Lonchura striata: one gene and its partners. The protein of the gene in region 3 interacts with the protein of the main gene of each other region in a pairwise test. Links are inferred from orthologs where the notes say so. Each region holds a gene or a part of one and is shown on either strand. Other genes may lie near its edges. The genes, in order: PCSK5, KDM8, MEOX2 and HAT1.

What was found.
Region 1: the proteins of MEOX2 (region 3) and PCSK5 interact in binary tests that used the Homo sapiens proteins (3 or more experiments, as listed by UniProt). The two-hybrid records come from large-scale screens. The link is inferred for Lonchura striata from reciprocal best matches to the Homo sapiens genes MEOX2 and PCSK5.
Region 2: the proteins of MEOX2 (region 3) and KDM8 interact in a two-hybrid assay, tested with the Homo sapiens proteins (2 studies listed by BioGRID). The two-hybrid records come from large-scale screens. The link is inferred for Lonchura striata from reciprocal best matches to the Homo sapiens genes MEOX2 and KDM8.
Region 4: the proteins of MEOX2 (region 3) and HAT1 interact in binary tests that used the Homo sapiens proteins (3 or more experiments, as listed by UniProt). The two-hybrid records come from large-scale screens. The link is inferred for Lonchura striata from reciprocal best matches to the Homo sapiens genes MEOX2 and HAT1.

Annotation. Positions count from the first base shown.
Region 1 is NC_134642.1:69,633,058-69,640,975, reverse strand, and holds the start of PCSK5 (proprotein convertase subtilisin/kexin type 5), read left to right. Parts: upstream 1-4,764; 5' UTR 4,765-5,301; coding exon 5,302-5,499; intron 5,500-7,918. UniProt on the Homo sapiens protein: Serine endoprotease that processes various proproteins by cleavage at paired basic amino acids, recognizing the RXXX[KR]R consensus motif. Likely functions in the constitutive and regulated secretory pathways.
Region 2 is NC_134618.1:17,463,927-17,472,094, forward strand, and holds the start of KDM8 (bifunctional peptidase and arginyl-hydroxylase JMJD5), read left to right. Parts: upstream 1-4,943; coding exon 4,944-5,629; intron 5,630-6,925; coding exon 6,926-7,058; intron 7,059-7,925; coding exon 7,926-7,967; intron 7,968-8,168. UniProt on the Homo sapiens protein: Bifunctional enzyme that acts both as an endopeptidase and 2-oxoglutarate-dependent monooxygenase.
Region 3 is NC_134603.1:128,046,808-128,054,862, forward strand, and holds the start of MEOX2 (homeobox protein MOX-2), read left to right. Parts: upstream 1-4,930; 5' UTR 4,931-5,382; coding exon 5,383-5,893; intron 5,894-8,055. UniProt on the Homo sapiens protein: Mesodermal transcription factor that plays a key role in somitogenesis and somitogenesis and limb muscle differentiation. Required during limb development for normal appendicular muscle formation and for the normal regulation of myogenic genes.
Region 4 is NC_134610.1:20,438,909-20,446,715, forward strand, and holds the start of HAT1 (histone acetyltransferase type B catalytic subunit), read left to right. Parts: upstream 1-4,633; 5' UTR 4,634-4,718; coding exon 4,719-4,725; intron 4,726-5,674; coding exon 5,675-5,746; intron 5,747-6,061; coding exon 6,062-6,137; intron 6,138-7,804; coding exon 7,805-7,807. Other genes in the region: SLC25A12 (electrogenic aspartate/glutamate antiporter SLC25A12, mitochondrial), read right to left, coding at 2,220-2,273, 2,695-2,706. UniProt on the Homo sapiens protein: Histone acetyltransferase that plays a role in different biological processes including cell cycle progression, glucose metabolism, histone production or DNA damage repair. Coordinates histone production and acetylation via H4 promoter binding.

The DNA of each region.
Region 1 (7,918 bases), on a different chromosome or scaffold from region 3:
CCATTCTTCTTTTCTCTCCATGCCTTAGCCATTCATTCTAGCTATGCACTGTGTATTATCAGTAAAATTAGTATGGCTACTGGCACTGTCAACTAGATCTCTGAAATAAAAAAATAAAAAATAATAATAAAAAAAAACAAAAAGAGAAAATAAAAGGAAATATACAGTTAAAAAATAATGACAGTTCAGATTAAAGCCCTAAGAGATGCATTTGCACAAATGGGAAGACAGCAAATAAGTATGCTGGCACAGGCATCAGTACAAGAAGTCTCTTCATGTGGTGTAACAAACACTAGCATCATTTCAAATTATGCCTGTCAGCACAGCCATAACTATAATGAGGGGAGAGACATTCTTTCAAAAAATTGCAATAAACACAATCAAAGATGTAAAGGTAAGAGGGACATTCTGTTCACAGGGTGAAAAATAGACAGTGCAGCCTTATTCATAAAACTAGAAGGAAATCTACATAATACCTGAATAAGGCAGCATCAGTCCAATTACCAGGAAAAACCCAGAGACACACCTGTTCCTAGATCCAGACATAAATGCTACTGCTTTACTGCCAACAGACAAGAAATAAAGGATCATTCCATTTGATTCCTTACATGAATCACTGAGCTTCTGACACTGAGCTCAGGATAAAATTGAGGCTTGGGTTGGAGCACACCCTGACAAAGCCAAATACCCATTCCAATTTCCTTCTGTTCATTCCTTTGTGCCACCCCAGCTTCTTTACCCCACTTGAATACCTTTACCTGTCCTGTCTCTTATCTCCTCTACATTCAGGACAAAAGGCTTGCCTCCTTGGTATTTCCAGAAAGTTAATTAAAGTCTACTGTCAATTAGCATGTTCACTCCCATCGTGACCAACAAGAAGTGGGAAGAGAAATAAGAGGTCATACTTTGCTGTGGACTGCATACAGGGTTAGATATACAGACCCTATAGTCTACACACTGGGAGAGTGAGAGGTATCCTAGTGAGAGGAGTGAGCAATCTCAACAAATTGGCTGCTGAATGTAAAAAAAGTGTCTAATGTACAGGTGAAAACTCTCATGCAAAAATTGGACCAACATAGGTGACTTTTCATGAGAACAGTGAAGTACTCAAAATACATACCCTGCTTCAAAGCATAAAGAGACAGGTATTTATCAGGAACAAACCTGTTAATGTACTTAATTATATGGAAAACCAGTGTTTTATTAAAAACCAAACTAAAAACCCCAAAACTTAGTTATATTCAAAATGTTAAAATATGTAAAATCAGAGGCAAGCCTTAAGCATGGAAAACTGGAGATCAAAGAACTGTATACCAGCAAATTGGATCATATGGTGGCTGGTGTCAAGTGACCTAGCTGTACTGTTTATAAAAACAAGTAAAAACAGTTATGCTTGAAACTGAGGAAATCTAAATTCTCCTTTGGATTCCAAAACTATCCATCTTTCTAAGTCAACCTCTAAACAAGTCCTTGACACAACCTCCACTCTTCGGATGTTTCCTTTGTTTCATCTACTATGGCCCAGACTCTCCCTCTCAAAGGCTGATGAACATATATTCCCAGTTTAGTCTTAAAATAGACTGTGTTCTGGAGTGTCTTCAGGGACCAGCACATCTGCTTGCATTACTTCTTCCTATAAGACACTGAGCTACCACTTTGCTTAAATTTATATTTTCTATGTGATTTCCTCCTTAATTATGACTCTGGGGTGGCTAACACATCTCTGGAGCACTGATCTGCAAAACATACAGGAGTGCTAGAAAGCTGACATAAAGGACAACACAGTAAAAAGGCTGCTGAAGCTGGTGAGCCAGAGGGATTTTCAGGCTGAGAAAGAACTAGAAAGGAAAGAATAATTTCTGGACTAGGTAGGCAAAACAGCAAAACAAGAGGCAATTAGAGCACATAAGAGAGAAGTGAGAACAGCCACTGAGGTCAGATTCTGGATTGCTATCATTTGGAATTAACAATAGAGGAGGGATTAATGGATTATTATCAATAAGTAAAGGACAAGAGAGAGACCTGTGGAAATTTGCATTTTGAGCAGTCAGGCAGATACTGACTTTTGTCATAAAAGAGAGGCAAGAAGGGGGTGGAGAGGTGTGTGTGTGTGTCTGTTAACAAGAGGCACCAGTGTAACAATAGTGATAAAATGGATCAAATTAGTGCCCTTACCAAGAGGAGATAAAAACTTTTCCAGTGGTGTACAGAGAGACAAGTTATCAGGTCTCCCACAGAGCTCAAAAGCAAGCCCAGCTACCAGCTACATACAGTCCACATATAGCAGGTACACTGAATAAAACTCCCACACTGCTGCCTCAGCCCCCTCAGTCTCTCCACTCCCCTGGTATATGAAATGCCTGGCTCTTTCAGAAAGGAACAGAATACGGCATGGCAGGGGTTCTCACCTCTTTTTTCCTTTTTTTTTTTTTTTTTTTTTTTTTGAGGGGGTGTAAGGAGTGAAGTCCCTAGGGATTTTGCTTTGATGAGGTATTCAGCAAAACTTTACAGTCTGGAGTTCATATTGAAACACACTCAAATATTTCACAGCGCAACCAATGTCCAAATGTTGCCACACTAGCTATAATTGCCATCTAACACAGTGGCCTCAGCAAAGAGGACTATAATCACAGAAAAAAATGTCTCTGGGGACTACACCCCGCCTCTTCCAGAGGCTGTTTTTATGTATAGTACAATTTTCACAACATTTTTGTTATACTGTGCAATATGATGCAGCTTTATGAAAAGATACTTACAGACAATGATGTATTTATCAAATCAACTGATTCCTAGTGACTTCGGTGCTTTGTATAAAACACCATCAAGTGAGACAAGTTGGAAGTAAGTACATGACAGTATGGATTTTCTTTGTAGTGTGCACCTTTTGTCCATTATCTGTAGCAAAAAATATGGCAGTCAAAACAATAGTAAGATTATCTGAGAAAAGACCAGAAAAAAATTTTTCAATTTATTATCTTCAGAAAAACAAACTGGGGTTGCATAAGATTCAGGTGTTGTGACCCATTGATTGCTATTCACTTCTATAGAGCAGATATTAATGATTAAGCATAATAAGCAGATATTGGATAAGAGCTGACTTGTGTAATTATCATTGAACCAATGAATTAGGAGGGCTAATTGCTGCATTGCTAAGGCTAATTGCTGAGGGATATTTAATGTCATATTCAAGGAATGTGTATTTTTGAATACACATAGCAACAAGGTGTAATTGCTTGGTCCTAACAGCTACAATTCATACAAGGGCCTGCTGAATTGAATGAGTGCTGGCTGCAGTTTCAACAGAGGAACAATTTGCTCAACAGTAAGCCACCATCTGTGAAATCCTAGGAAAGGCAAGTTCCCATGAATTCTTAAATGTACGAACAGAACTTAACAGTACATTTGAATATACTGAGAAAATGATCATACAAACTACAAAAGAAAATACATAGAAGAAGCAATCTCTGGAAAATAAATTATTGGAGACATCAAACAAACAGGGAAGCAAAGGATGCATTTTCCTTCTTTCTATTTTTTAAAAACTATCAAAAGATGTGGGAAGACATTAATCACCAGTATAATACCCATATGTAAGGGAAAAAATTAATGAACATAAAGCAGAGAATCACCGGAATTGGAAAACATGGCTTTCTATTTCTACTTTTCAAGGGAAACAGCTGCTTTAAAGGTAGAGATGTAGGTTTTCATGGAGTTGAAAAGGAGCTCCATGTTATTCTATGATCTTCTGTAAAGCATTTAATTTCTCATACTTCAGGGAAAGTGACAGCTGCCTGACTTTTGCCTACTGTCACCTTTGCTGACATTATTTTCCTCAGAGAAAATTCACAGATTTACATTAGTGCATTGCAATGTTACTTCTCTTGTCCAAATTCCTTCAAAACTTGCAACAGATCTTCACAGTAGGTCTGTTGGACCGATTATTTCAACTTTCAAGCAAAACAAAGTAGATCTACAGGTAGTCCAAAGCTATTATGGTGACTCAAATGCTTAGACCATTAAACAACAAGCTTGGGATGGAGTGGACATGAGCTTTCTCCCACCCCAGCCAGGCACTAGCCTGGGACAGCTGCTGATGATTAGCAGCATCTTCTCTGGGCCCAGAGGTGCTCTGCTTATGGAAGCAAGCTGCAGATCTGTAGCAACGCTACATACATAGCTACATGGATGAGGGAGCAGTGGGAGCTCTGCCTTCTCTGTCTGGGTCTGGACCACTGCTCCTCTGCCAAAGCAGCAGCCACCCCCTTTTCTTTTCGAAGGTGGTGACCACGGACAGACGGGCTGCATTAAACGACGACGTGCGATGCGTACGATGTGCGGCCAGCAAACGGGCACACGGCGCCTGCCGGAGAGGCAGCCGTGGGGCTGTTCCCGTCCCGCCCGGCAGCCCAGCAGCTTCTCCTGGGCAGGCAGGCCGGGGCAGAGCCGGAGCAGCCGGGGCTGTCCCGCGGCCCCCCCTCGCCCCGGGCGCCCTTTGCCGCCGGTGCAGAGCACAAGGCCCTTCCGCAGGCCTCGCCTCGCCGCGCCCGCTGCAGCCCCGCTGGCGGCGCGGCGGCCGCCCGGCCCGGCGGGGGCGCGGAGACAGCGCCGGGGGCGGCGGCTGGCGAGACCAGCGGTAGCCCGGGGCCCCGGAGCGCAAAGAGGGAGGTAACCCGGCGCCGACACGGCTGCCATTTCCCCTGGCCTTCGGCGCTGAGGGATTGAGGGCGGGGAGAGGAGGCGGAGGAGAAGGAGGAGGGAGGGGAGAGGGAGGTCGTCGAGTCGGAGCGCACTGAGGCTCGAAGCTGCCAACACTCACACATCGCCTGCCGCCGCAGCCGCGCTGCTCCCGGGCTCCGGAGAGAGGGAGCGAGTAGAGGCGAAGAAAAGCCAGACGCGGGAGAGGAGGCAGAAGACCGCTGGCAGAGGGAAGGAAGTCAGAGAGGAGGGAAACGGAGGGAGAGGGATAAGGACCCCTCCTCCCCGCGGAGAGACGACTTCCCATGTAGCTAGGGATAGAGGGAGAAGCTGGCGCTCAGGAACAGTGAGAGAAGCTCTCACAAGCAAGTTACTTAATCCGGGGAGAGCGGCGGGAAGAGGGCACAGCAGTAATCACTGATCAGAAGCACTATTCCCAACCCCTCATCATTTAAGCCCCGGGCGGTTCAATGCACTACTCCAAGCTCTTCCTAGTTTCTTCCTCGGGCTAACTTCGGAGGACGTACCGCCGGAGCGGCCCGGAGGGGAGGACAAGGGCCTCGGAAGAAGGAAGGAGTTTAGTGGGGGCTGCCTGCGGAGGAGAAGATGGGCTGGAAGCGCCGCTGTTGCTGGGGAGGCGGAGGCGGCGGGGACCTTCTGTGCCGGCTCACCCTGGTGCTGGGATTCCTGCTGCCCGCCTGCAGGACGCGCCTCTACACCAACCACTGGGCTGTGCGGATAACCGGGGGGCTCCCGGAGGCCAACAGGATAGCGAGCAAATACGGATACGTCAATATAGGACAGGTAACGCTGGTCACAACTCCTTCCCAGCGGGCAACCGGCGCTGCGGCCGCCCTGCGCCGCCGGGGCAGGGACGAGGGCGAGGGCGAGGGACGGGAGGCCCCGCGGCTGCTGCCCGGGCACGGCCCCGCCGCAGGCCCCGCCGCCGCCGCGGGGCGGTCCGCGGAGCCGCCCGGCTCCCCGCCGCGGGCCCCGTGAGGTGATGCGCGGGGACAGGTATGCCGGGGAGCTCGGGGTCGTGGCCTTCCCCTTCGAAGCCAGGTGTGAAACGGGGCGCGGGCCAGGGAGCCGCCTGCGGGGCGGGAGGGGGAGGGCATCGGCGGGGGGCGTCCCGCCGCGGCTCTGCGCTCCGCCTCGCTGCGGCTGAACTTTGCGCTCCGCGGCGGACAGCCTCTCGGCGAGTCGCCTCTCCGAGCTGAAAAGAGCCGGTACGAGACGAGCCGGCAGCCAGGACGTGGCAGCCGCGGCCGCCGGCTCGCCGCAGCGCGCTGAGTCCCGACCCCCGCGCTGGCGGGGCGTGCGGAAGGAGGCGGTGGCGGCGTGTCCCGGGGCGGCTGCCGCGCGTGCGGCTGCCCGCGGCGCTCCGTGGGGAAGGAGAGCACGCTGCTGGGGCCAGGGCACACCTGGACTTGGCTAGATCCAGACGTCACCACGTCAGAAAATTCTTGTATCCAGGCAGGTTAGGAAACTGAAAGTTAGCAAACACCTGGTTCTCACTGGAATGGAAAATGCCCCACTTCTACAATTAGGCACAGTTCTTTTTAAAATATCCTAACTTCACTTTTTCTTAAGGAGTTTATACTCGGTGTTCTAGGCTTTCCTCGCAGTTGTTCTCAAAATCCAAGTTGCATATGTAGGGTTTACAAGGTGAGTGCCTAAAAAATAAACTGTTTGCATGTTCTGTTGCATGCTTGGGTGCAAACATCCAAGTACATTCTTTCTGGACAGTAGTTTATTCTACATGAATCGAAAGGTTAGAAATGAACATTTACAGGTACAGAAGGCTTCCTTTTATACATGAGATTTACAAAACCGTATCTGTGTTTACACTCCAGGCGTTTCATATCAACCAAACCAAAATAAGACCTGATTATTATTTTGTTTTAAAATGGATTCCCACCTACTACATCATTGAATCAAAAGTTTAAAGTACATATCAATTGCAAGCCTGAAAAAGACAGCTGGTTGGTCAATTAAGAGAAATAATTTACATGAGAAAAACTGGAAAATGTCACTGGGGTATCACAAAACGTGATGTGTAAGGACGCAGTTACTTAGAGTATCAACTTCTCACGTAAGCAGACAGGCAGTACTACTTCCAGCTGGAGGCACTAAAATATGGGAGGAAGATTGCATGTCAAAAGTGAAGTACTACTTTGGAACTACAGTTTAGGAATCAAAATTTTTTGCATCGGTTTTCTTTTTAGTCTTGAATGTTTTTTGTTCAAGATGATTTATTCCTATCTGGGCCCTTATAGTGGCAAAATTTGCAACCATTGGTTGCAGGATGCGCCTGTCCCCATTTTTTCTTTTGTCAGGCTGGCTGGTTAGCTCAGAGCCTGCCTTTTTGTACTTTGCATATGTAAGCCATGTCTTGAATTAAGGAAAGAATGTTGTAAACCTCTGTTGTTTCTTATGTGAAAGTGTCTATATACAATTACAAAATACCAGTAATGGATAATACAGATTAGGTATACAGATTAGGTATACAAATGAGAATGAGAGAAAATAGAGACTATAAGTAACTGAAAATTGGAAAATGCTCTATTAGGTATATGGATGAAAAAAAGAGTAGACTGTGTTTCTAGGTAAAGATGGGTAAACGGAGTAAGGTACTAACTTTTGGAGAAAGGGAATCAGGAACAGTTTGGACAGATGAGGTGGACTTGTCCATAGCGAGCTTTCTTCATAGATCTGAAAAAGCAGGAAAATACTTGATGCAAAACAGGAAGTGCAAAAAGAAGATCAGAATGGGGCAATAATCTGCTGGTTATTATTGAGCAACAATTGCAAGTAATTAAAAAATTTATTTTGAGTGTGATGTTGAAAGATATTTTCTTAGCTGAATATGCTCTGAAAATAAGAGACACCAATAAGTAGAATTTTCTCATAGAGTTATAGAATAGGCATAATATTTTTGGTTACATTAAATTTATGAGCTCATCTATATAAAGAAAGTGAAAAAAGCTAAATCAAAATTCCACTGCAGCTGGTCCAAAGGACTAACTTACAAATTATCCAGAAAAATAACCTATTGAAAATATTAAAGATAAGTAGTGAAACTGTATAAAAATGAAAGTTTCAAGCCAGGAACATTCTGACAACAGTAAATTGCATAATTAGAGCTGAAGGAAACAGTGAGAAAGAGGGACTCTGAAGGCCTTATTTCCACTGACCGTTCTGTTAATTTTGTGTTTGTGGA
Region 2 (8,168 bases), on a different chromosome or scaffold from region 3:
TAGACTTTAGTTTGCTTTTTCTAGTTCTTAAACCAAGTAGTAGTAACCTTGTGAACAAACTTTTTCATGCTTCCGCTTTCATATTAAACATGCTTTTTCTGATACCTTCTCCGGTGATTCTTTAAGCAACCTTAAAACAGTCATTCATGACAGCTGTAAAGATTTTATGTTTTCTTTAATGTTGAAGGAGCTTATTTGCAAATATGAAAGGGATTCAAGTTGATATAAGGAAAAAGAACTTTAAAATAGTCTAACTTACATAATTTCCATTCAGCAAAGGTAACTAAGGCTACATGTGTAAGCAATACTGCCTCAGTTGCATCTCAGCAGACACATATGTCCCAGATGGATGTTATGTAATGTTTTTGTAAAATAAGTATTTTCCAGTGATTTCTGAAAGTAGAACTGGGTGTGCTGATATAGCTTGCTCCAGAAAGAACACTGTGTGTCCTATACCCAAAGCAATGAGACACATTCCAAAGTGCCATGCAAAATGTCACCTTATCTCACTTAAAGTTATTTCATCTAGTAATATCAGGGAAATTACAATATGTTGTTCTACATGAAAGTACATGACAGCACTATTTGTGAGACCTGGCAGCTGCCACTCTCGGCCAAGCAGATGGCAGTGATAAAAACAGTTCAGGGAACAGGTTGATAAAGATATATCCATCATTACACTGTCACGGCACATCTACACTCAACTCCAAGACACAATGAAAATATAGGGCTGTGTTACTCTCCATCAGGAAGACCTTGCTCATCTGAGGAAACTTTTGCTTAATAATTAATTCTGTACATATTTTAATCAGAATCATTCATCTCTTGTTCAGAGGAACAGAAAAAGCAACCTGGAAAGACATCCAAAATCTTTAGTCTTATGTGTTCACACTTTTGTTCTTGCAGAAGAGGAGATAATCATTTCCTGTAAAGGCAAATAAAAGCCATCTATGGCTTTCATAGCAGTCATCAATTTATATTCCCATTTAGGTTCCATTTTTACCTTATTTTGCATGGGTGGGGAGGGCACAGGGGCAATGTTAAGTGAGTATATTGTGTATACTGCTCATAGAAGGTACCAGTCAACCACTCCTGGAAGCAAAAACAGCCTAAGCACTGGTGGCAGCAGCATTATCAGCCTGTCCCCACTTCATCCCTGCTCCTGGACACTGCCAACACTGACAGGCACTTACCTGCTGCGATGGCTGGTGAATGCCCAGGCATTCCAAAAGCCCTGGAAACACGGCAACAGATCACCTTCCATGGTACAGAATTTCAGAATGGTACAGGTTGGAAGGGACCACAGTGGGCCATCTGGTCCAACCCCCCTGCTCAAACAGAGTCATCCCAGAGTACCTGACACAGGATCGTGTGCCGTACATTCTGGAATATCTCCAGTGAGGGACTTTCCACACCCACTCCAGGCAATCTGTTCAGGACATCTCATCCACACAGTGAAGGAGCTGTTCCTCAGGGTCAGGTGAAACTTCCTATGCATCAGTTTCTGTGCCTTACCTCTTTTCCTATTGCTGGGCATCACTGAGAAGAGCCTGGCTTCATCTTCTTGCCATCCTCCCTTTAAGGAGGGTATAAAATCCAGAGTGCCAGGCTGCCAAAAGGGATATGGCATTCTTGAGGAGCTGAGCAGCATCCTGGAGTCCTGAGAAAGAAAATCTTCAGTGTTACTTGTTGGGCTCTGGATTGCTAGACATGATTTTGCACTGAAGAAGGTTTAATCTTTAACAAGAACTCCAGACAAGGCAACCCATCTGAGATGACTTCACCATTCACCACTGCAAGCAATTTACACATACTGACTTGTGTTTAGATATTTGGGGCATCTACTTAGTTTTTATTACTCCTGGCCTCACACTCCTTCATAGAACAAAAAAATGCTTTCTCTATCTGCTAATTCAAACTGGCTATTCCTCACCAGACTTCAGCTACATTCGCCTAGGGAAGAATCAAATAAATATGTACAAGCAAGCAGATGGTGTCATTTTAAAAACTGATCCACCTAATACAAACATCCTACTTTGGACTTAAGTGGCGAACCACTAAGCAAGTGTCTTGATGTAACTTTAATAAAATTCAAAAACAAATCACAGGACTTTGTTCATCAACTCTAATCAGCAAATGAGTAAAGACTGCTATAAAGGAGAATACTCCTATAAATAATTTTTTTAAAAAAATTAAATTCTAGACAGGGCAAATACTCTCTGGCCAATATGCTTTTCAATGAAGACAAATGCAAACTAAGACATAGAGTGTATTTTTTATACTTGGTGTAACTAATCACTTTTTCACCAGTAGCACATAAGGTAACATCAACTGTGGGTCCTGGAATCTATCACTGTAAATAGGAGAGAAATACAGATAGTTTTATCTGTATACAGATGGCATTATCTCCCTTAATTGTGTGCCTGTTCATTTGGTTTTTTTAAATAGATAACTTCTTTCTGAAAGTCCATGCAAGGAGAAAAAGAGATGGCTGAAGCATATTTAAAAATACACAGAATACAAAAGAGAACAAAAAGCACAGACTGTAAATCAGGAAGCAGCAGGGAACCAAGTTTTCTTCTATGCCTTAGGGAACATTTTCTACAAGGTTAGGCAGTCTGCTTTCCACAATCTTAAAAAATTTTTACTTCTGATAAAAACAAGTTTCAGTATTGTGGCATAATCCATGGAACTCTTTTTCCCATCAATTTCTGCAGGTTAGACACATGACAGTAATCTTTGTTCTTTGGCAGCAGGAATTAAATTCTCTCTTCTTGACCTAAAATGGAAATGTCTAGCACTGAAGTCATCCACTTCCTTGGTCAGGCAGCTCACACAAAACATCTGCAGTAGCTTACAGGCATTTCAAAACTAGCATGCATTATTGCAAGGTTAACTGCTCTGAGAGCTAAACTTCCCAATTCAGCATTTGCAAATCTGTTGGGTTTTTTTCCCTCAATGAGGACAATTTCAACCAAGTTATTAAGATGCAGCATGATATTATGAGATTTTAGTGGATTTTCCTCCAAGAGGCCAAACACACAAGACTCAGTACACACCCTAAGACCTGAGCTTTATTAGCTCAGCAGATATACAGCCCCTTTAACTGCAACGACAACTCCCTGAATGGAATTTGTAGCCAGGTGGGGTAGGTCTCTTCTTCCAGGCAACCACTGACAGAACAAGAGGACACAGTCTTAAGATGCACTACAAGTTTTAGGCTGGACATTAGGAAGAAGTTCTTCACAGGAGTGATAGGGTATTGGAATGGGCTGTCCACAGAGGTAGTGGGGTGACCATCCCTGGAGGTGTTTAAGAAGACTGGAAGTGGTCCAGGTGACAAGGTGGTGTTAGGTCTCAGCTTTGACTTGATGATCTCAAAGGTCTTTTCCAACCTAGTTGATTCTGTGATTCAAGGCTATCAATGCTGTATCAGAATTCAAACTATTGCACCAAAACTGACTAGAAATAATTGTCTTCCAATGTACGCTCACAGAGCCTCCCTGAATACTCAAAAACTAAAATCACCTGAAGTGAAACTGATAAAGCTCATCATGGCCTCAATGCCTCACTGCTGTGCTGGAGATTACTTGTTCAGACCTTGTTGTTGTTTGAAATTCCAGAAAAAAAATCCTAATCTTCAAAATGAAACTAATGAAAATATTATTCATATTTAAACTGCAAAAACTATTACTTAACTAAATGCAAATAAATGTCAATGTAAATGGTTATAAAAAGTGGGCAGCCCACAGACACAAGACTAACAACACTTGCTAGCATCCTAAATTGCAAATAATGAACATAGGGTTTAACAAGAAAATCTCCTTGCCACTTAAATACTTTTTCCTACAGCAGCATATATTAACATTTAGCAGTTAAGGAGAAAATACTGAATGAAGGTGCTAAAATCACACTGTCACAGAAGGAATTTAAGATGCCAAGAGAAAGGCAGTCAGAAGACAGGCAACAGACAGGCCAGCATGATAAGCAATGCACAAGCCTGAAGTGTGAGAAGTGTGAGAGCAGAAGTGATAATTTCGAGGAGACAGCTGGGGGGCCGGGGGAGAGCCACCACTAGCAGCAACAGAAGGATTCAGATCAATTTTTTTTTTTCCTTTTTGGAAAGCACTAGTGACTGAGCATGGAACAAAGAAGAGCGGGTATCTGAGTACAGAAAATAAGGATTTTAACTTTTTCTGTAAATTAGGATTTGTCTCAAATCCAAAGACTTCAACCCTAACTAGCAACTAAAAATTCCTCATTTCTTGTTATGGTGGTTTAGTTTGGTTCACCATGTTAAAACATTCCTCAGTTGCTGAATTTTAAATAAAATATTGTTTTGCCTTTGTAGTCAAGTATTAAGCCCTGAGAACGTTCAGGTCACATTATCAAAGCAAGTTGGGGCTCAGTGATGCCGTGTCCAGCACGTTAGAAAGTAAGAAGAGTTTTGTGCATATTCCATGCAGAAAGCGCTCCTGTGAGCAGATGAACACCAGGCAGCTGAGCCAGCGGGAGGACACGGGCTCAGGGCCGCGCCGGGCTCCGCTCGGGCTCCTCGAGCGCCGGGCAGAGACGTTTCTTTGCAGCACAAAAGGTCGGCTGGGAAGAGCGCATCTCCCTTTTCCCTCAGCACTCACCGCCTGCGCTCCGCTGTCCCCAGCGCAGGCAGCCGCCTCCTCACGCCGGCGCTCGGCGAACGGCCGGAGAGCGTGGCCTTCACCGCGTCTACGGGCTCCCCTTTCCTGCGAAAGCAGCGCCCATCACAGTCACTCAATTCCAGCTGACTCGCTGGTCAAGTCACAGGTAAGAACGACAAATCCGAGCTTCGCCGGCGCGACCGAAGCTCGGCTCCCGGCTCCTCCGGGCACCGCCCCGCGCCCGGCCCCGCCTCAGCCCCGCCGGCCCGACAGCGCTGCCTCGCGGCCGTCGGCGCAGGCGCGGCCATGGCGGCGGCCGGCAGTGCGGCGGCTGCGAACGACAGCCTGGCGCTGTGGGCCGAGGTGCGGGCGCTGCTGCCCCGCGCCGAGGACGGGCTGACCTTGGCGCTGAGCGGCGAGGTGGAGGACTGCGTGCTGCCGCTGCTGCGGCGGGCCCGCGCGCTGCTCTACGGCGCGGCGGGACGGCCCGGGACGGCAGCGGCAGCGGCGCTGGAGCGCCTCGGCGACGTCCTGCGTGACTACTCTTGGGAGAAGCTGAACGCGGGGCCATGGAGGGAGGTCGGCAAGGGCTGGCGCCAGGTGTACGCCTACGGCTGCCTCTTCGGGACGCTGGCCGAGGTGGCCGCGGGCCGGCCGCTGGCGCGCGCCGTGCGGCTCTGCGACCTGGGCCTGCTGATGGGCGCCGCCATCCTGGACAACGTCCTGGCGCGCCTGGTGCGCGCGCTGCAGCCGCACCTGCCCCGCGCGCGCGCCCCGGGCGGCCTCGCGCGCCCCCTTGCGGGCGCCGCTGAGGCGCAGCGGCCGCTCCCGAGCCCCCGGCTGGCGCCGCCGCCCGCCCTGCGGCCGGAGCAGCTCGTTCCGCGCCTCCGCCGCCCTTCGCTCCAGCATTTCAGAGACAACTACCTCCTTCCCCAGCGGCCTGTGGTCCTGGAGGGCGTCATGGACCACTGGCCCTGTATGAAGAAGTGGAGGTGAGAAGTAAATTTCTTCCCTGTCCAAGTTAAGGCGCGATCGTTCCCTGTGTTGGGTATCTTGATGCTCGATAGAGCGGCAGACCTCCACAGGCAAAGGATACCATGGACAGTGCATTTTGCTAGCAGCACAGTCCCACTGCTCTGTGGAAGTTGCTTCATAGATGAGGGAAGCTCTTCATAGCTTTCAGTGCAGGACTGTCTGGGGGCCAAGGTGACTCTTTGACCAGCCTCTGACTCTTCGTGGGTGAAGGCCACCTTCTGCTGTCCCAGCCTTCAGCCGTCCCAGGAGCCCAATGGCAACACCTGGGAACTCACGAGACGTGCACATTGCAAAGTGCCACTGGGCTACTCACAGCTCAGTGGATGTGTCAAGGAACACACATCAGTGCTTTTTACCCCTTGGAGCTTGCCAATAATTACTGCAATGGAAAGTGAATTTCAGAGCCAAGAGTAAGCGTGGTTGACTTTTTCATTCATAAGTCCAAGCACTGATGTTTGTCCAGTGTTGTGTTTGAGTGTTGAGTTTCAGACACCACTGTGCAGGACTGAGTAACAGCATTGTGCTGCCTGGTTAATGCACACAATGGTGCCCACATTTCCAACATTGAGCATCAAGTGTTTTTGAGGTGAAGGTCATGATTCCCCAGAAAAGGGGAAAAATCACTCATGCTTAGTTTAAATAATTGCTTTAGTTCAACAACCAAAGATAAAACTGAGTGCACACACTTGTTATGTCATAGAGATTTTATTCATTTTTGAGGGAAGGTACTGTACTGGTTAAGATTAGACACTTAACAAGATTAACTTCTCAGTTTAATTAATACAGTTGTCCATGGAGAGATGTATTTCACCCATCAAACTCATCCCCTCTGGCTACAATTGGAATTGGTATTATTGGCACCTGCTGACAGAGAGTTGATCTAATATTACTGAGTAAAAGATACAAGATTTTATGAAATGTAGCAGCAGGCAGAAAAAGATTGGCCATCCCTTCCCAAGAGACAGTAACAGCTTAAATCTTCTTCGTTTGGAAGAAAACAACTGGGGCAAACAGGCTTTTAAACCAAAACAAAACAGACAGTTGTGGGGTCATGTCCACACAAACCTGCCTGCTGATCTCCTTGTTGCTTGCAGTCTTTTATTCTGCCTTTTTATTCTGGTTGGTTTGGTTTAGACAGGAGAAACTCAGGGTAGTAGAATTTTATTACCCAACAAGATTGATTTGGATTGATTGTTTTACATTCAAAATTAGTAAGAGCAGTATAGAAGGTAATGGAACTTTCTTTATTTCAGTGTGGACTATTTCTGTCAAGTCGCAGGGTGCCGCACAGTCCCAGTGGAGTTGGGTGCTCGGTACACAGACGAGGAATGGTCTCAGCAGCTCATGACTGTCAGTGACTTCATCAGCCAGTATATCATGGATGAGGTCTGTTACACTTGTTTGTTTGATTTCCAAACACAGCACCGTGGTACTGGTAAAGACAACAGTTCTGCTTACAACAAACCTACTCAGAGGTCATATCAAGGGAGGGGGTGTGCTGTAAGCACAGTTCTGAATTAAAAGGTTTGACATATTTTTAAGACGTGAAGCTAGGAATAATTATAGCAACGATAGGTTTGAATTTTACCTATAATTAAATGTACAGTAGCTGGATTTTGATTAATATATACACACATACATATGTAGCAAAAACCTGACTGGTCGAATCTAAGAATAAGGGATCCTCAGCCAGCAGCGTTGTTCCTCTTTCTCATTAAGCTGCTTAGTGAGATTTAGGATTTACAAGCCATGAGGCAGAAAAATACAAAGCTGATTAGCGAAGTCTGGAATGTCCTTTAACAGGTGAGGATCCCAAACCCCAATTTCTGTTTCCTGGCCTTCTGGCAGGAAGGACTATGTGCCATAGCAAATTGCTCTGTGGTGCACCCCGGAATAGAGTATGGAAGTAGTTCCAGAGCGTGAAGGAGAACTGGTCTGTGTGCCAGCAGGGTCTGGCTAGAAAGATGCAGCGTATTGTCAGCTGTCAAGACTCCACAGGGAGTCCCAGCTTCCTTCAGTAACTCAAGCTGGATAATTTATTCATTGTAGAGACACACCTACACTCTCACAATTTCAATGGAGCTGTAAGTTGCTATATCTGAAGACACCTTATATTGTTGAAATAATTATATATAGTACTCTGAACAGGACACTGGAATTTACTCTAAGTAAATTCTATTCACCTCTAAGTAAATTAATCCACTGTCTTACCTGTATGTTACTATGATTTTTGTTTCTCTGCTGTCATTTCAGAACAATGTAGGATACCTTGCCCAGCACCAGCTTTTTGATCAGGTAAAACTGAGTGAATGTTTTAATCTTCCTACAGTCATGTCTTCCTTTTGTAGCACAAGTTGTCTCTCAAGATGTTGACTGTAGTCGATTGAAGGGCATTTGGAGAATTCGTAGTAATTCTTAAGTTTCTATTCCCATTATTTGAAGGAGCAGAGGGAGAAGTTTGTTCTATTTGGCTACGAGACATGGAAACAAAACCCT
Region 3 (8,055 bases):
ACTGCGTATTTACCCGGTTAATCGATGTAAGTCACAGCTTAAGTCTGTGATACGCAAAGTTTTCAATCATATGTATTTTTTATTCTGGGTGACTCAGACTTGAAGTATAATCAACACAATATTAATTTTACAGCATAGATAGAAGCAAGCATTGTTAAAAATAAAGAATTATAAAAATGCCCTTCACCTTTTTTCCATGCACAATAGTGTCTGTATTTTCAACTCCAGTGAAATGTCTTTTAAATACACATACAGATCAAAATCCACAATCTGAATTGTATCAAACAATAAAATGCTTAAAGTGTAAAACACAAGCCTTTTTTTCTCCCTCTCTTATTTTATGAGGAAAATGGACAGAGCATAGCGTGTAATTGTCAAGATCTGGGGACGACAAAATGGAAAACATCTTCTTCAGGTATTATTGACTTGCCTGCATATGCATTTTGAGTACACTTCTAAATACAAATTTAGATATGTATTATTAAAGTGCCCGACAAAGCTAGTCATAGCTGTTTTCTAGTTCAACTATTCTTAAGTGGAGATAATACTAGAGAGAATTAAAAAAATGTTTAATTACAATGCAACAAGCAGAATGGGAAAAAAATGTATTGTGCAAAACTGTTCAATTTTCAAATAAATTATTTATTTAAAACAAACACACTCCAAAGTTTTGAATATGACTTCTGGGACTTTTGGGTATCTAATGTGAAATGCAAGTTTCCCATAGTATGTGAAATGCATAGCTTCCCAAATTCTAAAAGCATTCCTGAAACAGCATAGTTCAGGTGTGAAGCCTCAAGTGCATTCAGAATTTTAATATTTCATCAGTTTATTTAAATTAAATAGGAAGCATAAGATATTTTACTGGTTACAGTGGGCTGGCAATTCAAATAACTTTTAATGATGTAATGCAAACTTGTAAATCATTTTCAGCGAGGGCCTCATGGCTCAGCACAACTTTTCTGTAGTATACTAAATTGCTGGCATAACTTTAAAATTTGTAATGCTTGGAGATCATGAAAATAAGAACAGAAGCCATATGTATGTGGGAGAAGTAGCTGGAAATATTAATTCAGGCTTAAAAGTTTTTACAGATCTGTATTTGTCTTTAAAGCAAAAATTGTGTCTGATAAGTGTTAAACCATGGCACATGTAAGCGCTATAGAGAGTGAAATGGAAATATACCACAGAAATGCAATCTTAAAATTGTGGTAGTGCAATTTATCAGAAAAAAATGTTTCTATGATGAAGTATTGTAAAGATACTGGTGCAGCATAGGTTTAGAATAGTAAATGTGATTATTTTCAATTTTAATTAGTCAGAGATTCAGTATTTTTGACTAGTCAGTGAACAATTATTCATTTTCTTTGCTAGGATTTTCAGTTAAGGCATTCAAGCATCCCTGAAATAATGCATAATCCCCAGGCTTTATTACTGCTTATATCTGTGGGTTTATATTGCCATACAGGTACCAAGAGAAACGAATTATATTGCTTCAGAGGGAGTTAAACTGGCAAAAATTCGGAAAAAAAAGAAAAGACTGAAAATAAATATACATCTGTTGTGAATCTGGATTGACTCTAAGGTTGAATGATGCCTGCATTGACCAAATTGCCATGAAAAAATACGAACTGATCATAATTACAGTAGAATAGAACTCTGTCCTCTTATTTGGTAGGCTCTTGGGTACAATAAAAACTTTGGCTAAAAGAAACTGAATTCATATTTGTAAGCTTTCCCTTTGACAGTAATGAAAATATTCTTAAATTGTGTAAATTGCCATCCTTTTGCTGACTTCAGCAAAGTTATGACAACTTATATAATTCAAATGGTCCCCAAATATGACTTATCTATCTGATTTTACTGTAATACGCATATTGCAAATATGCAAACCACACACTAGAAAGAACTGACAAGAATCCTACTTACATTCTGATAAATATTCAGGAAGGTGGTTCTTTCAGCCTCCAACGTAAAAAATCAGAAAGACTACAAAAGTCCTGAAAAGGAGGAATTGTACACTGGTTCATTCAGGTCAATTTTACATGATCTCCTTCCCCATGAATGGTAAGTTAAAAAACCAAAAGCGACCCACCAGCAAAACCAAGAAACACAAAGTGAATGCAAATAGTAGCCCATACATGAAAATATAAAGGATGTTCCAAACTGTGTTGGCTCCAGATGTTTTTATGAGTTAAACAGTTTACTGTTTTCACATATTTAAAACATTCTATTTTTTTCACTTGATGTTTATAAGCTTTGGGCAAACTTGCTGGCATTGATTTAAGTTATGCTTTTGTACCACATGTAGGTTAAACACACATTCTGAAAAGGTACAATGCAAACAAGAATTCAATCATTAATATTGAGAGGCAGCAACTGCTTACAATTTTTTCCAGTAATTATTCTGCTATTACTGAGAAGCTTTACACTGAAGTTATAACTAAAAAGTTATAATTTTTTTACAAAGGATGCTATCATATAGCCATAGGTATTTGGTAACTGCACAGAAACTTTTGGAATAATTTCAGAAAGTGTTTGAAGCTGTTTGTTTGCCTTCACATTAATTGCCTATTTTTGCATTCTCCTTATATAGTTTGAAATGAAAGCATAAAGCTCTGCAGTGAAATGCATATCCAGTTCATGTGTGCTTAACACTGGTTTTTAAAGAAGTAATAAGAACACTTGATATAGGACCTATGAACTTATTTGGAAACTCAGAAGCCCAGGGAAGCACATTCCTGAATAGACAGATTTGGATATGAAGCTATTGACAAACACGGAGCTGTGCCATTATAGCTTTGCTATTGCATTCTTTCTTTTCTTCTCTTCACCTTTTGGAATCTCTTCTGCCTCTCCCTAAAATGTCTTATTTGGCTTGTTTCTTACTTCTCTTGGAAACCTTATCTTTCTCCCTCTTTCTCGAACCCTCTCACTTTCTTCATTGTGCTTCACTTCACTCCTTTCTTTTTTTTTTTTTTTTTTTTTTTTTCCTTTCTTTTGGTCATGTGCGAGAAATCCTGCATGGCCATTCCCTAGAACGAAGGCATTTTTACACCGCCTTGGCTTCGGGACTTCCCCGACCTCTTCACAGCTGTGGCTGTGTGAGGGATGCGGCAGCAGCGGCCCTGGAAGGAGGGGTGCTGGCATTCCAGCCCCTCCGGCCCCGGCCCCCACGACGGCGACTCGCCCCCGTAGCTGTGGCGGACAGCAGCAGGTTGGAGAGCGGCGGAGGGCAGCGGTGCGGTGCGGAGCGGTGCGGTGCGGTGCGGTGCGGAGCGGAGCGGTGCGGTGCCCGGGGCCGCTCCCCCGCTCCCACCTGGGGCCGCCGCCCGCCCCCGCAGCCCTCGGGCCGCCGCCGCCGGGGCCGCGGCGGGCGCGACGCTCCGCGCCTGTCGCTGTCTCGCAGTTATTGCTCCTGTTTGTGAGGGACAGCAGCACCCCTGTGCTGCCAGCCCGGCGTGTTCCCAAACTCAAGAGGGGCTCAGCCATCGAGATTTCTTTGTATTCCTCTCTTCTAATATTAGAACACATATTGAAACGATAAACACAATGAAAAGCACAAAATATTTCATCAGTGTTGTAACTGTATATTTCCTTTATTCTGAAGAAATATCAAGTTTTGAACGGTGCACAGAGGCAGCAACTTCTGCTTTGGACGCCGCTCTCTTTGTAAAGACCGCGATGTTACAGTTAAATCTAAAGACAGTTATTAAAAAGAGTTAGATGTCAGAAAAGGGGGGAAATCTTACCGTCGAAAGACTGCTGCAGGTTCCAGCTCAGTCTGAAACTGCAGTGAAAAGCGGAGCAGCTGCTGAACAAAAGTTTTAGATTTTTTTTTTTTAAGAAAGTCTGCAAAACTAATTTCCCACAAAATAGGACTCAATTTCCGTTTAAGAAACTAGCTCTTACAAAAGTCATACAATTGCTGATTTTTTCCACTAGCAATTGAAATTCATTTTATCTTTAGCACATGGACCCAAGAATTTAGACTTGAGAGAAATGGTTTCCCTTTTCTACTTTTTTTTTTTTTAATATAGTTTTGTTTTGGGGGGAAGGAGGAGCAAGGTACATCGAGTAGGAAGAGCTGGAGAATAAAACCGCTGAGCAGTGGGCACCTCTTTGGTCATTGATCACTAATGCGTTATCCTGATTTAAACCAGTTAAGAGACGCCTTGGTGGCTACTGTAATTCCACTACGCGCATGTTAAAAAATGATTTTAAAAAAGGAAAAAAAAAATAAAAAGACAGGCCCAAACTTTCCAAGTTATTCCCCAATTCACTAAAGACATTTGCAACGAAGCAAATGAAGATAAAGCAAATAGACGTTATGTGACTTCTTGTTTTGAAGGGGCAGAGGGCAAGAGGGGAAACTTCTCTGTGCAGCCAGCCTTGCTGGCACGGTGGGCGCCGGTAGGTTCGTTGCAGAACCAGCCGCCGATGCCGGGGCACAGCGTGAGGCTGTGGAGGGCAGCCGGGGCAGCGCCGCGGCCCGTGGCGAGTGCCGGGGCGGTGGGCGCGGGCGAGGAGAAGATGGCCCGCGCCGGCACCTTCCGAGCGGGGGAGCGCAGCCGGCGGCCCCGCACGCCGGCGCCCTCGCACCTGGGCTCGCAGGTGAGGCGCTGGCGAGAGCACTTCAGCTCCCGGGGAAACGGGGAAACGGGGGTGGCCCCCGCGTCCCCCGCCCCAGAGTCACCCCCGCACGTCGCCTCACGTCTTTACTGCGCTCCCTCGCCCGCCGCTCGCGGGGGCGGCGGGACCCCGAGCGGCCCGTCGGCCCCGACGGGGCGGTGATGGCCTGCGGGGCCGTGCGGCCGCGGCGAGGGGGGCTCGGGCAGCCGCGCGGGGAGGCGCGGCCCGCGGGGGCAGGGACGAGCGGGCTGCGCCCCCGCGGAGCCGCCCCCCCGCCAGGCCCCGGGCGCCCGGGGCGCGGGCGCGCAGCGCTGCCGCCCGCTGACGGAGCGGCTCGGCGCGGGGACGGCGCTGGCGTTTTGGAGGGAGTTTGCATGTGGTCAGTGCTGTGCTGCTGAGCCAGCCCCCAGCTCACATTACACACTACTGTATTTATAACCTCTCGAAGCTGTTTCCCCCTTCAAGCAGTTCTCTGGGACCACCTTCTATTGGCTTCAACCTCTCCCACTTCTTGACATCTGAGCAGCTCTGAGAACGGCTCATCTAGGTCCGAGTGTTTATGCAGCGGAGACTGGCCACTAGGGCTAAAGATCTGGATTATTTGAGCTCAGCTGCCTGCTGCAGAGCCTGTCGGTGCCGTTTTGGAAAAAAAAATCCCAGCCCCGATCTGTTTACAGTGAAAGTTGACAAAGGGTGGTGAAGTTGGATCTTTCCTAAACTCTCCTGCCTGGAACCTGAGACTTGCATGCCATGGATCACACACTCTTTGGCTGCCTGCGCAGCCCCCATGCCACTGCGCAGAGCTTGCACCCTTTCTCCCAGTCTTCTCTTGCACTGCATGGAAGATCTGACCACATGTCCTACCCTGATCTGTCTTCTTCTTCTTCCTCTTGCATAATAGCGGGATACCCCAATGAGGAGGGCATGTTTGCCAGCCAACATCATAGGGGGCACCATCACCATCACCATCACCACCATCACCACCACCAGCAACAGCAGCACCAAGCTTTGCAGACGAACTGGCACATTCCTCAGATGTCGTCTCCTCCCGCCGCGGCCAGGCACAGCCTCTGCCTTCAGCCTGACTCAGGAGGACCCCCGGAGCTGGGCAGCAGCCCCCCTGTCCTGTGTTCGAACTCTTCCAGCCTGGGCACCAACACCCCCACGGGGGCAGCGTGTGCGCCAGGGGACTATGGCAGGCAGGCTCTGTCCCCGGTGGAAACAGAGAAGAGGTCCGGCAAAAGGAAAAGCGACAGCTCAGGTAAAAACTCGCGCGTTCCCCAGCCGGGGCGGGATCCCCGGGTGGCGGGGAAGTGGCGCGGTCGGGCCCCGCGGACCTGCCGCCACTCGGCTCGGCTCGGCTCGGCTCGGCTCGGCTCGGCTCGGCTCGCCCGGCCACGGCCGCCGCCGTGCTCTCGCCGCCGGCTGACACCCGGCTGCAGGGTTGCTCCTTCCCTCCAACGCGCTCTGGGGATCTCCATCACTAACGCAAACTTTATTAAAGCTTCGGGGGGAGAAATAGAAAGAAAAAATTCAGCACGTGATAGAGTATGAAATCAAGGTGGTGGTGGGGCGGCGGGGGGAGAATTTCCTACAGCCAGAGAGAAACGTTTGTAGTTTTGGTGCGGTTTTCAGCATCTGGTCCCGCGGCCCCCTCCCCCCTGCCCGATACGACACCTCTGCTTCAAAATTCAGAATCCAGCGCGCTCCTTCCCCTCCGCCCCTTCGCGGAGCTGACTGCGGCTCCGAGGCGATTGCACAACGCTTGGAAGCTCTGCCTTGGAAGCGGGGATTCGGGAGAGGAGCTGATGCCTTGCTACCCTGTAGGATCTGAGGATCCCTGTAGGATCTGAGTGATCTCTGAAATCCTCAGCGTGAAGGGGCAAAATTTGGACTCTGTGAAGCAAACGGGTGATTGGGAGTTTCAGAAAGCTGCTTCACTTCAGTTTTCTGGTGGCGGGGACAGAGGAAATGAAGGAGCAGTCTGCCTTCTAAAATCACAGTAATTTTTACATAAAAACATGTAGACCCACAGTCATTCCAGACTGATGATTTGGCATCAATGAATGGGCAAAAAACCTTGACATTATCTCTGCTTTCTAAAATAGCAAAGCCTTTCAAAGTCCTGATCTGACAAAAGGCACTCAGCGAAGGCAACGCAACTGATGGGACTTCCATTAGGGCACACATGAACCGAGGGGTCACCAAAAATATAGTGAGACAGGCAGGAGGCACTTGAAAGAGAGAGGGCTCAACAGATTGAAAACTCAAGAGCTGGCGTAGCAAATTATTTGTTATCACAGAAGAGAAAGTGAAAGGCTTTTCCAGATATGTATGAAGTTCACAACTGAAACCATAACCTTTCACTCAAAATGCTGTAAGCTTAGCCAAGCGCAAGCAACAAAAAGGATTTAAAAAAATAACCCTCAAGAATACCATCACTTCCTTCCTTGTCCATTACATTAGCAAATACTAACAGTTACAGTAATTCAGAACGTATTTATCTGCATTTTGTCTTACGTAGCTGGTGTAGCTGCTAAAAACTCATGCATTTAAAGCTGTATTTAGTTCAAACACTGCTGGTAAAATCTTTGTGTTTGTCTTCTTTCAATGAGAAAAAGATTTATCTGATTTTGTGAGGTGTATGAACAGTCCCTGTTACAACTGAGAAAATAACTGGATGCCTGCTGGTGTAAGGATTTATTGTATTTGTTGGTCTATTTAAAGCTAAAGGAAAAAAGGAAATTGGTCCCTTTCACTGTCAGAGAAGTATCCGAATCACTTTCTGTTTATTTCATTCTGCAATGCAAAAAAAAAAACAACAAAAAAAAAACACCAGTGAGGAATGTCCTAAACCTTACCCTGAAGTGACTGGAGCCTTCCACTGGATTAGCGGACAAGAGTTCAAGCCTTTAGCCATGGTTATGCTTATCTTGCAATGCACTTCGAGCCTCACTTTCTAAGTCTTTCTGAAGATCAAGGCAGGTAACTATTTCCTTCTCCCTTCCGCTAAGAAAAAAATACGACCGTTCACACAATTGTGAATCTCTCAAACTGAAAATAGATGTCTTTTGACAACAGCTGCATAGTTGCTATATGTTTGGTTTTTCTTCAGGAAAAGCCTGAGTTTTGGACTGAATATTTAACCCCACCCCTTTATTAGTCCTGAACTCTGGTGCTAGATATTTAGTGCTATTCTCATATATGGCAGCAAGAATTATTTTAATTTGCTGTGTTTCTATATTTGTCATCCATAATTGCCCCTCATTTGATTAAACATCATCACCTTTATTTCTCATTAATCTTTTTTTTTAAGACAAATGACTGTGCTTGAAAGAATTTCTTCCATGCCTTCATCAGACTTGGAACTTCTTCAATAGACATTTGTAAAAAATCCTAATAGTAAATAACTAAAAGGTGAAG
Region 4 (7,807 bases), on a different chromosome or scaffold from region 3:
TGATAATTTGTTAGAAAATCTGTTCTTTTATGTTTCTTACTCAAGTCTATGGTTAGCAAACACCTAAAAGGTAACTTATTTGATGGTGCACAGACATGAAATTTCAGTGCCTGCATTTCATAGTTAAAGGATTAAGAGAAATAGCACATCTTTTTAATGCAAATCAAACTTTATCTTTTTAACAGTTTAAAACAATTAGAAGAAGCAGATAGCACACCTCAAAAATTCTGAAGAGAAAGGTATATACTCAATGTCCTTTAAGATACAAGGTACACTGCACGGCGAGAGGGCACGTATCCCATTAGAAGACGTGCATGAACAGAAGGAAATCTAAGGAGACTCTCTATGATTAAGGTGGATGGTGACGAGGCCTAGAGCTCACATCTTCCCTTCTAACCATTTCCAAGGGAAGCCAAATTTAGGAAGGAATGCACGACCTTTAGCTGAAGTTCAAAGAAGAGACCAGCACTCTCAGCAAGGAGTACAACATATCTGACCCCTAAACACTTGCAATATTTCATAACAAGACTTTCTGCAACTCAGTCTTGAAAAGAATGATTCTCCTTTGTTTTAAAGTCTGCAAGTAAGTTTGATTTCTAAGCATAAAAAAAACCCACAATTTCAAACTCAACAAAACATAGAAGAAATACAAACTCTTTTTTCTATGCCTTTTTTTTACTGCAAAATCTCACATACTCAAAGAGAGAGAGGAGAGCTTCTTATTTTTCATTTCTCAGAATATCAAACAATTCACAACTTCATTTGCATGTTTCTTTGAAGAAAACAAGACAGCCATGGGGGAAGCCTTTTATTTTTAAACAAACTGTCTGGTTTTAGGTCAATAAAACACCAGCCAGTGATACAATGTTCTTCCTCTCTGCTGTTGTCTGTATGACCACTATCAAGAACTTAATTTCCCTATTTCCAGAAGCAAGAACTTCTACTGACTGGATGTCAAGAATCATAAAGAATTCACATTTACAACTGAATAATGTTTTGACACCTCATTTTACTGTTTTTCATTCAAATGTGCAAAAGTATTTTGCGAAAAGGTGGAAAAACACGTTCTAGAATCACATTTTTATACTGTATTAATATATATTTTAAAAGATAATACTTTTATGTCACTAATTTTAGTAACATACTCTAGTGTAATCTTTACCTACAAAAGCTGAATGCCATGTCAATCAAAAATGAACCTGTGTTGGAGTATCTTTTACTAGAAACTAAATGTTGAGCTTCCACAGTTTGATGCCAGCATTCTAAGTATTTGCACTCCAGCAATGTCATAGTGTAATCCAGTATGCAAAAGAAAAGGCCACCAAAATTACGGCTGGGATGCAACTCCTCTCTCTCAGGCAAAAAGCTCTCTCTGACTACTTATCATATACGGAAATTGCTAGATGGTATAGTAGAACCAGAAGATACATATAAATAGTTAAATAACAGACTTTATTATTTACAGTATTAACTCTAATTTTATAGTCCTAAATTTTTAAATAGAGAAAAGCTTCCTAAATATGCTGTGTAACACTCAACATTAGGGAAAAAAACATATTTTAGTCATTTTGAAATATTGGTGGCCCTATTATGGACCTAAAACATAGTTCTTGTTCTTCTTATTATTCCATATGACTGATTCAAACTTTATCGTTAAAGTTTTAGGATTGACTGGATCAATATCCTAAAGTTTCTGATTTTTTTCCTTTCTGATCGCACTTTAGTGAAACTAAGGGAATGGAGAAACCTTCATGCTATTATTTATGTATGCTAATTCTAAGGCCCTGCAAGGGATAATATTGCAAGACATATTAATAATGAGAAATCAATTTTAAGTTCTAAAAACACTCCTAGTGGTCCAACCATTTGCATGAACATATATAAATCCCAAGGACAAAACATACAGTCGTGGAAGAAAAATTTTTTTGATTCTGCAAAGGTGCATTTAAAAAAAAAACAGCACTTCATTATAATTATATGCTTTATAGAAAATTAGAAAATAGTTCAGGAGCTTATTTAATATGGTAATTTGGAAATGGTTATCACACTTTTTGCCAGCAGCAGGTTCTCCTCAATGCCTGACACCCCGTCAATACACTACGCCTGCAAAGTGAACTTATAAGTGTGCCACCAGCACGACACGAGTCTGATGCCACGGTAAACTGCTGAAAGAGCAAAACACCGAAGTCCGACACTCAAACAACATTAGATCTTTTTACCTGCAAAAAAATATTCCGTAGTTCAGCGGGATCCGCTCTTTTGGTTGAATGCACCTGTAAACACAAGCAAATGAATGCTTCGCTTAGGCGGGCTGCTGTCAGATCGCAGAGCAACCCGCCGCGCCGGCCGAAGGCGGCAACACGGCGTCCCTCGTCAGACCCACAGGCCCAACCTCAGCCGCGACCGCGCCGCGCCGCCGAGGCACGGCACGGGGCTCCGCGCCGCTGGCAGCTCTCAGCACGGCGCTGGCTGCGAGCGGCGCCCGGCCCCGCAGCACGACCGCCGCCGCTGCCCCGGGACCCCGGCCCGCGCCCCCCGGGGCACTCCGGCGGGCGGTGCGCCGCCGCTCCCCCGGGGCCGCCCCGCCATCACCGTTCCCCGGCCCCCGCGGGAATCCCGCCGCCCGCCTGCCCCCGGCCCCACGCGGGATCCGCCCGGCTCCTCCTGCCACCAGCGGCGGAGCGGGAGAGTCACCTTGACCGCCATGCTGCGCCCGCCGAGGAGGAGGAGCCAGCCGCCCGCCGCCCGCCGCGCCGCCGCAGCACCGCCGCCTCAGCGCGGCGCTGTGGGGAGAGCGCCCTGCCCCGCCCCGCCCCGCCCCGCCCCGCCCCGCCCCGCCCCGCCCCGCCCCGCCCCGCCTGTGGGTGCGCGGAGCGGGAGCCTGGTAGCGCCTCCACAGTGCAAAACGGGGCCTCTGAATGCTGCCGAGTCTCCTTGTGGCGCAACACATGCAGCCGTGTCCCTGAGGGTCAGCAGAGGTGTGCGTGTACCTGTTGGTTTCAGGTACCGAAATTGTTCATAGGCTGGTGTTCTGGCAGCTTGGCTGCAAGTCGGTTGTAGCTCTCTATTTCAAACATAGAGCTAGAGGCCCAAAATCCGGCTGAATTCACTAACTTCTTACAAGGTCTTATAATCCTTTATCAGCAGAGCACACATATGCTTTATACTTAAAAATAAAAAGCATGCAGGCCGAAGTCTTAAGAAAGGGAAGGTTTATACCTTATTCCAGCAGTTCAATCATGGTGCTTATAAAACCTGATTTAAATAATACTTCATACTATGTCTTGCTGTGCTATTTCAAGGGCACAACAAATTGTCTTTTATTAGATGGCACTGGAAAAAGGTAGATTCTGGTACTCCTCAAATAGCACAGAGAGATATTAAACTAAATACAGTAACTGGTAGCTTACAATGGTGGTCAGAAAACAGTGACTCAAGTTTAAAACAACTTTCCTCTGGTAAACAACATTTTAATTACATGTCAAAAAAAAGGTTTTCTTAAGAGTTCATATACTACATATATGCCTATGTCCCAGCTGACAGCAGAAGTTTTGCTAGAAATCTTGCCTATTTGGTAAGCATCTGACCACCCAAGTATGTTGTTCAATAAAGCCATATGTGTACATGCTTAGCTGCAGGGTGTTATGGTTTACCCTAGCCAGCAGCCAAGCCCCACACACTCACTCACTTGTTCCCCCACCAGCAGGACTGGCGAGAGAATTGGAAGGGTAAAAAGTAGAAAACTCATAGGTTGAGAGACAAGCAGTTTAATAGGAAAAGCAAAAGCTAGGCAGACAAGCGAAGTAAAATCAGGAATTAATTCACTGCTTCCCATGGGTAGGAAGGTGTTCAGCCATCTGCAGGATGGCAGAGCTTCATCACCAGTAGTAGTTACCTGGGAAGACAAACATCATCGCCCCAAACATCCTCTCCCTTCTTCTCCTCACTTTATAGACTGTGCAGGATGCCATCTGGTCAAAAATATCTCTTTGTCACTTAGGGACACCTGTCCCAGCTGTGTCTCTTCCAACCTTTCATTCAGCCCCAACATCCTTACCACCATGGCAGTACTGGCTCCATGTACGCCCTGCTCAGCAATAACAAAAATATCTGTTCAGCACAAATCCCAGAAAACACGGAATAAGCTGAGTTGGAAGGGACCCTCAAAGATTGAACCCACCACCCCCACACAAGCCAGTGTGAAAAGTAATTCTACCCCTGTCCAAACCAGCACAGCAACTCCCACTGTGCATCAAAAGCCAGGTCTCTGAAAGAAAACGGCAGAAATCCCACAATAGCTGCAACAAGCAGTTCAATATAGAGAGTTTTATTTTTTTACTAATGACAGAGCTCCGGCTGTTTGCTCGGCCAAAGCGTAACTGCAGCAATGAGCAGCGAGGTCTGAGAGTGAGGAAGGAGCCGGCAGCCGCAGGGTCCGCGACGCGCGCGGAGCCGCCGCACGTGACAGAGGCGCGAGCAGCTCTGCGCACGCGCGCCGGCCGGCCCGCGGTCTGGGGTGGGCGGGGCGGGGCGGGGCCGGTCACGCGAGCCAGCGCGAGGCTCGAGGCGGTGCCGGGCATGCGCGCAGGCTGCGCGCGCCGCGCGGGGCAGCTATTGGCTCCACGCCGGGTTTCGGCGGGCGGAAGCGGAAGCGCCTGCGCGCGCTCTCATTTCCGGCGGGCGGGCGCGCGGGTTGAGTCGCGGCGCGGGGCTCGGCCATGGCGGGTGAGTCCCGGCCCGGGAGCGGCAGCGGGGCCGGTCCCAGCCTCGCCGGCACGGGCAGGAGAGCTTAAGCTCGGAGCCGGCGGATGCGGGCGGACGGGAACAGGCTGTGAAGGAGGGGAGCCCCTCTGCCCCTCTGCCTCTCTGCCGCCTGACTGCCATGGTCCTGCTCCTGCGTGTCTGCGGGCTTATGGCCCCCACGGTCTGGTAGTGTTAGACCAGAGAGTGTGTCCGTGGCCACGAGTGTGCTGGCGGTGGGCAAAGAGCTAAAAACCCGAAAGTGTTTTTACTTAAAGTTTGCTGCCTGAAGTAAGATGCAGAAGAACTTTCTTATGGCCCTTTGAAATGAAGCGGGGGTTATGTTTGTGAAGCACTTGGAACATACCTGAGGTGAAACGTGTCTTCTGGCCTAGATTAGGCTTTGGAAATCACATGAAATACAGTGCATTTATTTGCGTTTTTCTTCCACATCCGTTCCGGAAGAGTAGTGCTGGTTAAATAATTGCTAGTGGTGTACATGCCACTGTAGTTCATTAATAGCAGTTTATGAAACTGACTTAATGCAAACACTTGAAGTGTGTTGACACGTGTTATTTATAACATGTTATACTGAATTCTTATTCAGTATTGCATGTTATAAGTAGCACATATGAAATATATATTTAATTTGTAGTAACTTAGAATACTTAATATTTTTATGGTAATGACTTTAATTCTCAGAAACTAAAATGAGATACTTGTATGTTTTCTAATTCCAGAAGAGTGTGTGAGACAGCTCTCTTTATCCTCTGTATTGATGTGTTGTGGCATGTTGTAGCTGTTTTAATCTTTCTTGTTTGGTGGTCTCGTGTTAAGTGTTTTTTCTTGGTTTATGACCCTTTTTCTAATATATTTTTTGAGTAATAATGACAAAGAGATTGGACACCTCTTAAAAAAATCTCTTTTTTTTCAGGACTTACTGCTATGGAGAAGAAGCTGGCTGAATACAAGTGTAATACAAATGAGGCGATTCAGCTGAAGCTAGGTAATACCACTTTTTAAATATTATACAAGTGATACTGAAGTATTCTGGTGTCTTTCTGTGAAATAGATACATGTATACATCTGTGTCAGTTTCTCAGTCCTAGTCTGATTACTGATTTGATACTCATAGGTCAAGTAACATGAATCCAAATTGTATAGGATGCCTTGATATCATTTGTATGCCACTCTCACATAGTTTCTTAACTAAAGTTGTCTGACTCTAGTGGAAAGGTGTGTGAACAGCTCGCAGGGCTTCTGTGGATAAACAGATGAAAGGTGGTGACTTGGTCATGCTCTCTTCTTTTTATTTTCTCAGTTCGCTTTCCTGAGGATTTGGAGGATGAGAACACAACATTTAATCCAGAGTACAGCCATCAAGTGTTTGGAGATGAGTAAGTCAAAGTTTCCAGATTTAAACTAATAGGTCCCAAAGGACAAATTTGTTTCCAAATAATTAAAAACCATAACATTTTGCTAATATGGAGTGCAAGATAAGAAGTGCTGGCCTGGTGCTGCTGCTACATTTACTGGCACAGGATAGGACGCCTCTGGCCTTCGTGCACCTGGGCACACGCTGGCTCACTCGTGTTCAGTCAAGTGTCGACCTGCACCCCCAGCTCCTTTGCTCTGTTCTTCCCCAAGTCTGTCACTTGTGACCCAAGTCCAGCAGTTCAGCACTCCTGTCCAGCCTAGTGTTGACTGCAGCTGACTTAGGGAGCATTCAGATCACTGATAAGACATTAAATGGGACTGTCACTGAGCCCTGGGGAACACCACAGGGGAACAGCTGTCGGGTGCATTTGACTCCATTCCCCACCACTCCTTGGGCATGGCCATCCAGACAGTGAAGAATGCCCCTGTTCAGGCCATGAGCAGCCAGTTTCTCCAGAGGAATGCTGATATCAAAGTCTTCCCTAAAGTGTAGGTGAAAAAGTATTGTTTCTTTTATTTTGAGCATGCTGAATTAATTAGTGCTGAAGTGTCATCTATTATTTTCAGTAGAGTGATATTCAACAATCTGGCCATAGATTTAAAAAAAACCCAAAACAAACAAACAAAAAAAAACAAACAAAAAACCCCGAAACAAACCTAAAGAGAATCCACCTGTATGTTTCTGTGGACTTCAAGTAGTTGTGTTTCTTAATTTCAATTTCCTTTTGAAAGCATTCTTAAGTACTTCAATTAGAATGAAATACCTGTATTAAATGTAATAAATTTGTTATACCAATAGCATCATTGACAATAATTATAATTTTAGTAATCAGAGAATTCTCCAATCTGTTAATTTAGCTAAGAAGGAAATTCTTCTGGCACTTAACATTTCAAATTTTAAATTATGAATGTACTACCATAAAAGAAAAATCCCAGTAAAAAAAAAGTTTCAGCTATGCTTCAACAACAACAACAAAAAAAATTGGCCTGTTTCTTTGTGAACATTACTATTTTCTGCATGTGTTTTCCAGAAAAGAAATTCTCTATTCTTCATAAGAGTATCGAATTTGTGTTCAGGCAGCTCGTATTTTCAAACTGTAAAAAAGGCTTTTGTATTCTATACTTCTTTTTGCAGGTACTAATTTCTGGTTAGATTGGATAACTAAATAGAAACTGTCAACCAAAAACTTCACAAATTGCTACACCTGGTTATCTGTGCTTTGTACATTATAGATTGCAGTCGTTTACTCCAAAATATTATACTACACTGCAAAATAATTTTTAATAAATATTAGCAATCAATTAATGTAAATAACTGTTAATGAGTTAAAGCTGTTGAAAAAGCATAAACACAGTATGAGCTGTATTCTTTCCTGTCACAGTAAGGACACAGGCACTGCCTTACTGAGCTCAGAGTATTTCCTCTAGAGGAGCGAAATAATAGAAGCAGTGTAAGGCATTACCTCTGTCTGTATAGTACACATCCAGTTTGATTCCCTTTTCCTATTAGGAAGCTTACCTTACCTTACTGGGAAAGATTATGTGAATCTCACATGAAATGAAGCAACTGTGATGTGAATGTTTTGTTATGTATCAAGTTCCTGGTTGTTATTTTTTCCTTTCTCAGTGA